Rattus norvegicus: one gene and its partners. The protein of the gene in region 2 interacts with the protein of the main gene of each other region in a pairwise test. Links are inferred from orthologs where the notes say so. Each region holds a gene or a part of one and is shown on either strand. Other genes may lie near its edges.

Region 1 (3,741 bases), on a different chromosome or scaffold from region 2:
TCCAGACAGGGTTTCTCTGTGTAGCCTTAGCTGTCCTGGAACTAGCTCTGTAGGTAAGGCTGTTCTCGAACTCAGAGATTCATCTGCCTCTGCCTCCTGCTGGGATTAAAGTCATGTACCACCACCACCGCCCTAGGAATCTTAGTTAGGGTTTCCATTGCTATGGAGACCCCATGACCAAACCAACTCTTATAAGGACAACATTTAATTAGGACTGGCTTACAGGTTCAGAGGTCAGCCCATTATTATCAAGATGGGAACACGGCAGCATCCAGGAAGACATAGAGCATTTCACCTCTTGTTCTGAAGGCAGCTAGGAGAAGACTGGCTTCCAGGCAGCTAGGACAAGGGTCTTAAAGCCCACCCCACAGTGACACACCTACTCCAACAAGGCCACACCTCCTACTAGTGCCACTCCCTGGGCCAAGCACAGACAAACCATCGCATTAGGGAACCCAAATGATCTTGGCAAGTGGCGTGCGGCCTGAAATCTATCTTGAAGCACTGTTAGCACTGAGCTTCTGAAGGGCCACTAGCACAAGTATGGAGCTGAATTTCCAATTAATTTAAGCACAAGTGACTGTGGAGACTTGAATTTAAGACTGTCAGCCTCTAATTCCTCAGAGGTTACTTATTTCACAGAACTGGCCCCAGTGGCCATCCTTCTCACTCTTCCCTCCCCAGACATACACGCGGGCACCTTTACACACACAGACATCATCATTCTAAGCATGGTATTCTGATGTTGACTTATCCTTCTCTCCTTCCTAGAGACCCAAATCTTAGATTTCAGGTCCCATCTCCTTGGAGGCCAATGGAGTTGTCATCTTCTCACAGCCTTAGGAACGAACTCCCCTCTGTATCCCCATTCGAGAAACATGGAAGAAAAGTCTTGGAAGACTGCTGCTGGCCTGCTCTTGTATCCCAGGATCCCAGGTGTTCAGCATAACCTATTAAGAACATACTACATGGGGGGCGAGAGGGGGGGAGGGCTGGGGAGATGGCTGAGTGGTTAAGAGCACTGACTGCCTTCCAGAGGAGCCAGGTTCAATTCCCAGCACCCACACGGCAGCTCACAACTGTCTATAGCTCCAGTTCCAAGAGGATCCAACACCCTCTTCTTGCCCCCCATGACCACTGCATGCACATGGTACATGCAGGCAGGCAAAACACTCATACACAAAATAAAAATGTAAAAAAAAAAAAATTAAGACATTCTACACAGTGGGTACTATGCTAAATGTCTCATTTACAAGGTCTCACCTTCACTATGGAAAATTAAGGCACAGACAAGTAAGTACCGTGTCAAGCAACCAAGACTCTGTGCCAGAGTTAGAATTTCAACTCTTTCCAAAGAATGGGTTCTTTTTTTTTTCTTTTTTTTTTCTTTTTTTTTTCTTTTCTTTTTTTTTTCCGGAGCTGGGGACCAAACCCAGGGCCTTGCGCTTGCTAGGCAAGCGCTCTACCACTGAGCTAAATCCCCAACCCCCAAAGAATGGGTTCTTAACTACTACACGATACTGTTTGGGGGCTCACTCACTCAATCTCAATCAAGATTTTTTCATGCCTACTATGTGCTTCATGCTATTCTAGCACTGGGAGTCAAGAGCTAATGCATATGTCCTCCTTTCAAAAGCCTCCAATCTCACAGAAGACCCAGAAATAATTATAATCAGTGGGGTATGATTTGCCTGTAGAAAGAGTATTATAGAAATACAAACCCTTAGTACCCTGTGAAGGAAAGTTTTCTGGAGATGGGATGGGCTTATAAACTTGATTAATTTGGTAGGAGTAGGCAGCCTATCTGAGCAACAAGAACCAGAAACTGGGATTAGGAAGACAATTTCTAGGCAAAGAGAACAACAAAGGCAAACACAGGAAGACATGGCACAGTGCATGGAGAAGCATTAAGTGATAGTGGAACCTAAAACTGAAGGCAGAAGGGACCAGAGACCCCAACAAGCTCCAGATAAAGCCCCATGTGACTGGCTGACAGCTGAAAAATTGTACGTTTCAATAGATTTTGAAATTCAGCAGTCAGTGAATGCTTGCTTAAAGAATAGGAGGTGTGGGGACGACATATCAGCAAACAAGTCACTAACAACCAAGCAGGAATTGGACAAAGATTTCCTTACAAAGATCATCTTGGAAAAAAAAAGTATAAAAACCAAATATGCATTTCTTTCCCACATAAACAATTCTGTAAAAAGATTTCTATGACAGAGGTCTGCAGTCTCAGTATTAAGGAGGCACAGGCAGGATATCCAGAAGTTTGAGGTCATACTACTCTACATACTGTAAACCATCTTGAAAAAAAAAAAAATGTACAAGGCCTGTATCCCATCACTGGGAGGTAGGGACAAGGGGATCAGGAATTTGAGGCCAGCTGGGCTAGTGGGGATGCTGGGACTCTTACGAAATCCCCAATACATATCGACTCCTCCAAAGTATTCTCCATCAATTCCAAATAGATGTAATTTCAAAAGCCCCAGCTTTGTTGAATCAGTCTCTGCACTATATGAAAAAGGCCTTACTGCTTCCGGCATTATTAAGGCCCGCTGAGGACACTGCTAGGGCGCCTCAAGTTACTCTTGGAAGGCGTTTCTGGCAGAAACAGAACAGCCCCGTTGGCACGGACAGTGTCCACTGTTTATCTATAAATCTTTTCAAGCAGATCTTGCAGCCAACTAGGTACAAGAGTCGGATGGGGATGGGGGGCGGGGAGTCAGAGAGGTCGGAACAATGAGGCGGAAACCAAAACTCTGAAACACGCCCACCTGAACAGGACGAAAGGGTGGGGCTTGGTCCACCCAGAAGGAAACCTCGAACTCCACCTTCAAGGTATCCGCTCCGGGTTAGCAGCCCCGGCCAAACGCCCCTGCTGGCTTCTAACCCAACCAGCTACGAAAGCAGGCCGACCACTAGCTTACCTCGACTGCACACTTACAAACCTCCACGCTACTCCGCTGCGCCTCGCCGCTTCCGGTGCTGAAAGATGATGTCACAAACTGCTGCCTAGCAACTGGTGATGATTTCAGAGTTTTTTCCAGAATTGGCCGAAACGTTCTCTTGCCGGATACCCTGGTCGAAAAGTGGTCGTAGCAGCTAGTTGTTTCCCGTGAAGATAACTCCTTTGCCTTCTCTGAGGCATCTAGCTGTCATAGCCTCCCAGGGTCTGAATCCGGAGAGATTTCAGACAGCAATCTCCTGTGGCTTTTCTATGCAGCCAAGTCGTCTCTTAGCACTTCCTCCTCAGGAAGCTTGCTATATGTTAAAGCCATCTTTGAAAGGGAAGGAACGAGGTTGGAGGTAGTGAGACAAATTCATTCTGTAGCCCAAATTGGCCTTGAACTCGCCAGAATCTCCTCTTGCCTTAGATTCCCCAGTGCTAGGATTGCAGGTGCGAGCTACCAAACACAGCTTTGAAGCCATCGGTTAAGCTACAAGCTGGAGTGCTTTACCAACCACTCACGTTCAAATTACACTTTCCTTCTCTAAGGAGAAAAAGACTAAAGAGAGAGACAGAGGAACCCTGCTAAGATTTTTTTTTATGATGTCTTCACTAAATTAACTGAGGGCAATCAGCAAGGCAGGAGGTTGGGATGACATATTTGTACTGATTTTTATTGCAATTCCAGGACGTTCCCTAAAAGTCTTGTATTGTAAATCACCAAAGACTTCTTGGCAGATGAAAGAATTCCTATCTCGTGAGTACATCAGAGTGTAGAATCTGAAACGCAG
Region 2 (3,494 bases):
TCTTCATTTGTCTCTTAAATTAAAGGCCTTGTTGGAGAGGACAGCACAGAAACAGCCTTGACTGTAATTATTGTACAGATATTTTAATAGCATAAAGTAAGTATATTCCTTTTATTTTGAAACAAAATGGTCAGACACTGCCTTTCATGTGTTTGTTGCCTGTGGCACTCTTTTTAAAAAAGACTGTTACATATTAAATAGTGTACATATATATAAATATTACCTCTTTGTGTACAGTTGTGATAGACCAGACCGAAAATTTTATTTTTTGTGTGCTTTTTATAAAAAAAATTAATACACTAAAGAGAATCTTGCGGATGTGATTGTAATGTACCCATGTAACTTATTTACTTTTGAATGTTCTGTATCTTAAGACCTTTTATTAAATAAGGTTTTAAAAAAGTCATTGTTGAATGCCATGTTCTTATAGGGGTGTTTTTGCCAGCTGGGACTGACTGATAGGGAACTTCTCCCTTTCTGAGCCTTAAGCGGTCTGTTTTGCTATCCTGTATACTCAGTAAGGACAAGAAGTTTGCTTGGCTACAAAGAGAAGTAATCCGGTGGGGGGGAGGGTGTGCACACACACACAAACTTTAGGTTTTGACACACACACACACACACACACACACACACACACACACACACACAAATTTTGGACAAGAAAGCCAAGTCAGACACTCAAAGGAACCAGTAGGTGGAATCCTCTTTTCTAGTCTTATGGGGAGGAACGGAGAAGCTGCAGACTGTAATCTGGTGGTTCACGGAAGTCAGATTTAGTGTTTTCACAGCAGAGTGAATGCATAGAATGGATATGAGACAAGTCCGTCGTGGTAGATGCGTATCAATAAGGCCAACTTAAATCCACAGCAAAATTAAATAAAACAAAACATGCTTAGCAATATTGTTAAGGAGGAATCTGGGAAGTACGAGTATGGGGGAGGGGTAAAAAGAAATGCACCATCATAGAATAGACTACTCAAACCCCTTCTTGGCACCATAGCAACCGCCAGATCCTCTGGAGCCCGCGCATCTCGCGTCGTCATGGACACAGTTGTCACGGTGACACTGGGGGAGGCGAGCGGACCGGTTCCGCCCTCCAGTGCAGCTGCACGGAGGCCGTTGCTGGAGCGCGCGGCCATAAGCGCTGAGCAGAGCTGCCTCCAGCCCGGTTCCTCCCTCCTTCGCGCTTCCTGCCGCCTCAGTCCCCGGTGCTTCGAGTGCCGCCTCTCTCGGTGTAGCTGAGCCACGGCCTCGAGTAACCCTCGGCCGCCCGCGGGCCAGGGAGAGGTGGGAGGAGCTGCCACGCCCCGCGACCGCACCCAGTCATCTCCAGCCCGCAGCCAACCGCCTTGAGCCCACCTTCCTCCCCTTCTCAAAGCAGTGACGCAAGGCACAGCCGCAGCCAGTCCACTCCTGCCCGGACCAAAAGGGCGACATTCGAGTGATAGGCGGAGTGTCCCGTGGCACTGACTTGGGACCCGGAAGGGACCAGAAGGAACTCTGGTGTCTTTTGGTAATTGTGGTTGCTTGAAGCTTGTCGCCCCCTGGCCTACCGGGGGAGGAGAGCATGTTGTCCTAAGCCCAACAGCAGCACCGTGAGCCAGTCCAAGCACAGTCTGTAGAACTGGCACTCTTAATAGTTGGGCGAAATGGCTATGACACTATTGGAAGACTGGTGCAGGGGAATGGATGTGAACTCTCAGAGAGCTCTGTTGGTCTGGGGGATCCCTGTGAACTGTGATGAGACCGAAATCGAAGAGACCCTCCAAGCTGCGATGCCCCAGGTATCCTATCGAGTACTGGGGAGAATGTTCTGGAGGGAAGAAAATGCGAAAGCAGCCTTGTTAGAGCTCACTGGGACGGTGGATTACTCCCTGATCCCCAGGGAGATGCCAGGCAAAGGAGGGCTCTGGAAAGTAGTGTTTAAGCCCCCCACTTCCGACGCGGAGTTTTTGGAAAGGCTGCACCTCTTTCTAGCTAGGGAAGGGTGGACGGTGCAAGATGTTGCTCGTGTGCTTGGGTTTCAGAACCCTGCTCCAGCCCCAGGCCCGGAAATGCCAGCAGAGATGCTCAACTATATTTTGGATAATGTTATTCAACCTCTTGTTGAGTCCATATGGTATAAGAAGCTGACTTTGTTCTCCGGGAGGGACATTCCCGGGCCTGGCGAGGAGACCTTTGATTCCTGGCTGGAGCACTCGAATGAAGTCATAGAGGAATGGCAGGTGTCTGATATAGAAAAGAGACGGCGGTTGATGGAGAGTTTGCGAGGCCCGGCTGCCGATGTCATTCGCATCCTCAAGACCAACAACCCTGCTATAACCACGGCAGAATGCCTGAAGGCTCTTGAGCAGGTGTTTGGGAGCGTGGAGAGCTCTAGAGATGCACAGGTCAGATTTCTGAACACTTACCAAAACCCAGGAGAAAAGTTATCTTCTTACGTTATCCGTCTGGAGCCTCTGCTGCAAAAGGTAGTGGACAAGGGGGCCATTGATAAAGATAACGTGAACCAGGCTCGCCTGGAACAGGTCATCGCTGGGGCCAACCACAGCGGGGCCCTCCGAAGGCAGTTGTGGCTGACTGGGGCTACAGAAGGGCCTGCACCCAACCTCTTCCAGTTACTGGTGCAGATTCGAGAGGAGGAAGCCAAAGAGGAGGAGGAGGAGGCCGAGGCTGCCCTTTTGCAGCTAGGCCTAGAGGGGCACTTCTGAATCCCAGGACTGGCCAGGCTGCTTTTGATATTCCTGTGAAGTTTTAGTAAGCCTGTCCCTTAAAGTAAACAGCCAGCCTCCTCCTGCCTTTGTTTTGTTTTCTGAGGAATGGGATGAGAAAGTCAGGCCCGCATATTCCTGTAGCATTCACAGAATTGTGTAATTAGCAGGAGTAAAGGCGGTTCATAGTGCTACAGTGATGCCAGCCCTCCTGGTGACATCTCTGACAGCTGTGAGAAACATGAAGCTGCGATCCTTCCTGTCACGATGTTTGTGAAACTGCAAGTTCTGATGCTAAGTACATGCCCGGTTCACAGGCTGTACACTACAAACTCTTGTATTTATTTGTTACTAACACTGTGGACAGCTTTACTGTAAATTGTTGCTAATTTGTATCCATGGAAAGAATGCGACTTTTAGATATTACTCATCTTGAAAATGCAGATTTCTAATTCCTCGTGGCTCAACACTGGAATCAGTTTCCCTGAAAAGTATCCCCAGATTAGAAGTGGCGGGTTAGAAAGATGTGTTTTTATAGAGTGCACAATAAATCCTTCACAGTGGAAGATACAGATGTAAGTCATAGGGGGAATGGCCCTGGACAAGCTACACTTCCTCACTTCAAATATTTGTCATTATTGGTCATATTGATGCTAAGGGTTCTAAGTTTGAAGTTATTGAATAGATGGATACAAAAAAAATTTGAAAATTCTCTTTTTTCCTGACATGCATACAATTTTTCAGCATAATTTAGCTTCACATACTTTTTTCTCCTGACAAGGA
Region 3 (3,748 bases), on a different chromosome or scaffold from region 2:
TTCCCTCTCCCAGAGCGTGCCCTGGAGATGGGGCGGGGAGGACACTGCAGAAGGAGGGGACCAGGGGCGGACTCAGGACCGGCCCTCCTGCGGGTCCACGCTTCTTACCCACGGCGTGCGCGCGCGGTTCCTCGGGCTCCTGCACGGCGGGTGCCTCCTCACCAGCCGGGGGGCTGGCCGCCCTGCCCTCCTCCGACAGCCCCTCTGCAATAGGCTGCAGCCCAAGTCGATTCTTCTTCCTCCGCGGAGGGACGGGAGGGGGAGGCGGTCGAGGCGGGACCAAAGCCCACCCAGCCGGAGGGTCCCGGGGCGGGACTGGCGGCGGCTGGGCTCGGCTTCGCGACCGGAGTTCCTTGAAGGTGGTGACTTCTCGGGGAGGTGCCAAAGAACCTCCCAGGGACCCAGTCGGCGGGAGCTCAGTGTCGGGCGAGAAGACTATGAGCCAGTCGCTGCGATCTTTCTTGGCCTGCGGCACAAGGGGCAGCCCCGGACCCCGCTTGCGCTTCTGGGCCAGCTCATGGAAGGACGTGATTGTCCGATGGGGCACCGGCTCCTGGCTGACGTCACCTCTCCATCCCCCATCAGTTTTCCCTGCATCTATTTTCGAACCAGAATTGGTGTTCAAACAAGAATCCAATTTCCCAGATTCCGTTTTCAAGCTCGAGTCTGTATTTTCGTCTGTTTTCCAACCAGAGTCACTGTCCTCGATGGTTTTCCACTCAGTTTCAGTTTTCTCTGTGTCGATTTTCCAAATGGGGTTGATTTTCCAACTGGGCTCTGCTTTCCCTGCGTCAATTCTCCCATCTTCGGTCTCTGAGAGCTCAGAGGTAGCAAGATCCTGTTCCCCACTGTCTTCCTCCTCCTCCAAGCCTGGGGAAGGTAGGTCCTGGCAGGTGGTCAGGGCGTTGCAGTTCGAGTCCAGGTCAGGTCCAGGTGGAGAAGATATTCCGGAGCAAGAATCAGGAGAGCAGCAGACGCTGTCTGGAGAGCAGGTGCTAGGACCCGCGGGAGCCAGAGGAGAGCCCAGCTCCAAGGGGAAGATGCTGGCCTGAGGGTTGGCATCCTCATTACCCGGCAGGTCTCGAGAGTAGACTGACACTGGAGACTCATCAGGGCTAAGATCTGAGCAGGAGCTGAGAGAGGAAGAGCATCCCGGATCTGAAGGCGAGGCAGCCTCTTCCTCCTGGGAGGGGTCCTGCTGGTTTTCTATGCTGGGCCCATGCTCCTGGCAGCATCTGCAGGGCACAGCTGGACTGTTGGAGTTGGCGTCCACAAGGGTCCCGCTGCAAGGCCCCCTGCTTTCCTTGCCCCCTGTGTCCCCTGGGGGCGGGGGTGTGCTCAGAGGCCCCTCTCGTAGTTCAGGACGGCGGGACAAGTGCAGGCCTAGGGAGACGTGCTGGAGATGGATGTGATTGAGGTTGCAGAGTAAAGCCCGCTGAGGGGACAGCATGGTGCCGAGGACGACGTATGGCTTTCAGAGAACCGACAGGATCCAGCGTCTCACATCCACCTACCTGACAGTACAGATGCAGACCTAGAAAACAGGGGCGGTTGAAACCTAGCTACTGAGATCGCCGGTAAGGGCACGGGAGGTGACTGAGGACTAGAACAGGCCTGGGAAAGACCTGGCTGCTTTGGGAAATATTTAAATGAGATTCAAATCACCATGAACAGGCCATTAGTTTGCACTGCAGCATTTGCAGGTGGAGTCGAACATAACCTCCAGGGAACGAAGAAAGGAGGGTCATGAGAAAATGCGGTTGTACTGATCTCCGCGGGGGTGCGAAGCTTGAAAAAAGTGGGGCCCAGAATATGGGGGTGCGATGCTTGAAAATCGGGTCCAGAAAACACCCTGATTCTTCCTAATCAAGTTCTGTCCTCCAGCTTACCTCTGGGAGGAAGGAGACCCCGCCCAGATGCTCTAGTGAGGTGGATGGTCGGGAATGAGAAGAAGGGTTTGGTTATTAACGCAGGAGAGGGGTCTGGGCTGGAGGAAGAGGAAGCATTCTGCTTGTCAGCGCTGCATCTGCCCCAGTCCCCATTCAGTTCTAGCCTTCAGCCTGTGTCCTCACCCACCCGCAACGGCAAGGTTTATCCATTCACTCTGAGCTCGTCTCCATCTTCCACCCATCACCCGCTTCTTTATTCTTTTTTTCACTGCTCCTCTCCCGTGCCATCCACCCATCTATCCATCCATCCATCCATCCATCCGCACCCTCAGACCGAGCCCTCCTCACCGCAGTCCTCCTGGAATCGCTCCGGCCGGCCTTGGCTCGTCTGCGTCCCCGCCCAGCGGGGAACAGAGCGGAGGGGAGGGGCACCAGCAAAACCCAGTGGCTGCGCAGCCGCACCCCTTCACGCATGGGCGTGGCATAGCTCAGGACCGCCTCCCAACCTCCACGCAACACTTGACGCTGTGCCTATGTCACCCATCTAACAACGCAGCAGCTTTGGGTCTCAAGGAATTCTTTTGCCAACCTGGATTCCAAGTTGCCCTCTCCCACCCCTCCATTTTGAACTCCTGACACAAGCATAAAACCACAGGATGTTGAACAATAATTTATTGAGACCCCTCCCTCGCAGCCTCTACAATTCGAGGTTACTTTCTCCGCTTGTAGATCTTGTTTGCTAGTTCCAGGAAGATGGATGGGGGCAGGGGCGCGGAGCACTGCTCTATGAGACTCTTGAGGCGGTTGTAACTGTCTTCCTCGTACTTGAAGAACACACTCCGCAGATCCAGCTCCTCGTACAGTGCTTTCACCCGCGCCACTTTTTCTGGGTCCTTCTGCCCATAATTCTCCTGGAAGCAGAGAAACAGCTTTTTTTGGCTGGATTCAAAGGCCCTCACAACTCCTACATTCCAGAACACTGGCAAAGCTCTCTCTCTGGGAATCCAATCTCAAGCATTGCCTCCCCAACCCCAAAGTTCAGGCATTGGCTCAGGATTCTACTTCCTCTATGGATTCTCAGCCTCGACACCACTGACAGTTACTGGGCATGTGTTGTCTGGCACTGTACAAAATCTTCCTGGTCCTGCCTGCTACCTTCAGCACATACACCAAATTGCACTGAGCTCCCAAATGTCTCCTGGACAGCAAAATCACTGTTCTAACCACTCCTCCCCCATCCCCTCTTAGCAAAGGGACATGCCACCCCCAAGCCCCACTTGGGCACCTCTAAGATCTGGCGCTGCTGAGGAGTGGCTCGTAGCAGACACTGAACCACCAGCCAGCTGCATTTGTTGTCCTGGATGTCAGTGCCGACCTTTCCGGTCACACTGGGGTCTCCAAAGAGATCAAGGTAGTCGTCCTAGGGAGCAGGCAGAAAGGAGAGATGAGAAGCTCCATGCAGTGTGGCTGGAGGACCTGTGTACACTGCTGTCTGTAAGCAGGGAAGGGCAGGTAGAAGACAAGGCAAGAGCCTGTGATTGGACAGTGAAAAAGAAAAGTGGGCCGAGAATTCTAGAGACAAAGAGCACAGGAAGGGGAGAAGGAAGACGGAGGAAGAGGACCACCCGGATCCGTGTAGCTTTAAACAGCCACGGGTAACTATGAGTATTATATAAGGGATAGATGACTACAGGACATCTTATCTAGGTGGGCCCTTTATATCAGTATCAATTGGCTCTGAGTTTATTATGTGGGCGTTTTGTGGGGTGAGAATTTACTGATATAAATCTGATTAATAAATTACAAGCCTCTAGAGTTTTGATTTTGCCAGGGTATAGATATCTGTGACAGCCAACCGT

Evidence for each region.
Region 1: the proteins of Pnma1 (region 2) and Aptx interact in binary tests that used the Homo sapiens proteins (3 or more experiments, as listed by UniProt). The two-hybrid records come from large-scale screens. The link is inferred for Rattus norvegicus from reciprocal best matches to the Homo sapiens genes PNMA1 and APTX.
Region 3: the proteins of Pnma1 (region 2) and Rusc1 interact in binary tests that used the Homo sapiens proteins (3 or more experiments, as listed by UniProt). The two-hybrid records come from large-scale screens. The link is inferred for Rattus norvegicus from reciprocal best matches to the Homo sapiens genes PNMA1 and RUSC1.

What each region holds. Positions count from the first base shown.
Region 1 is NC_086023.1:60,615,876-60,619,616, forward strand, and holds the start of Aptx (aprataxin), read right to left. Parts: upstream 2,916-3,741; 5' UTR 2,778-2,915; intron 1-2,777. UniProt on the Homo sapiens protein: DNA-binding protein involved in single-strand DNA break repair, double-strand DNA break repair and base excision repair.
Region 2 is NC_086024.1:109,512,829-109,516,322, reverse strand, and holds Pnma1 (paraneoplastic antigen Ma1 homolog), read left to right. Parts: upstream 1-1,155; 5' UTR 1,156-1,649; coding exon 1,650-2,711; 3' UTR 2,712-2,941; downstream 2,942-3,494.
Region 3 is NC_086020.1:176,792,645-176,796,392, forward strand, and holds the start of Rusc1 (RUN and SH3 domain containing 1), read right to left. Parts: upstream 2,338-3,748; 5' UTR 2,238-2,337; intron 1,535-2,237; 5' UTR 1,451-1,534; coding exon 109-1,450; intron 1-108. Other genes in the region: Fdps (farnesyl pyrophosphate synthase), read right to left, coding at 2,600-2,800, 3,175-3,309. UniProt on the Homo sapiens protein: Associates with the adapter-like complex 4 (AP-4) and may therefore play a role in vesicular trafficking of proteins at the trans-Golgi network. Signaling adapter which plays a role in neuronal differentiation.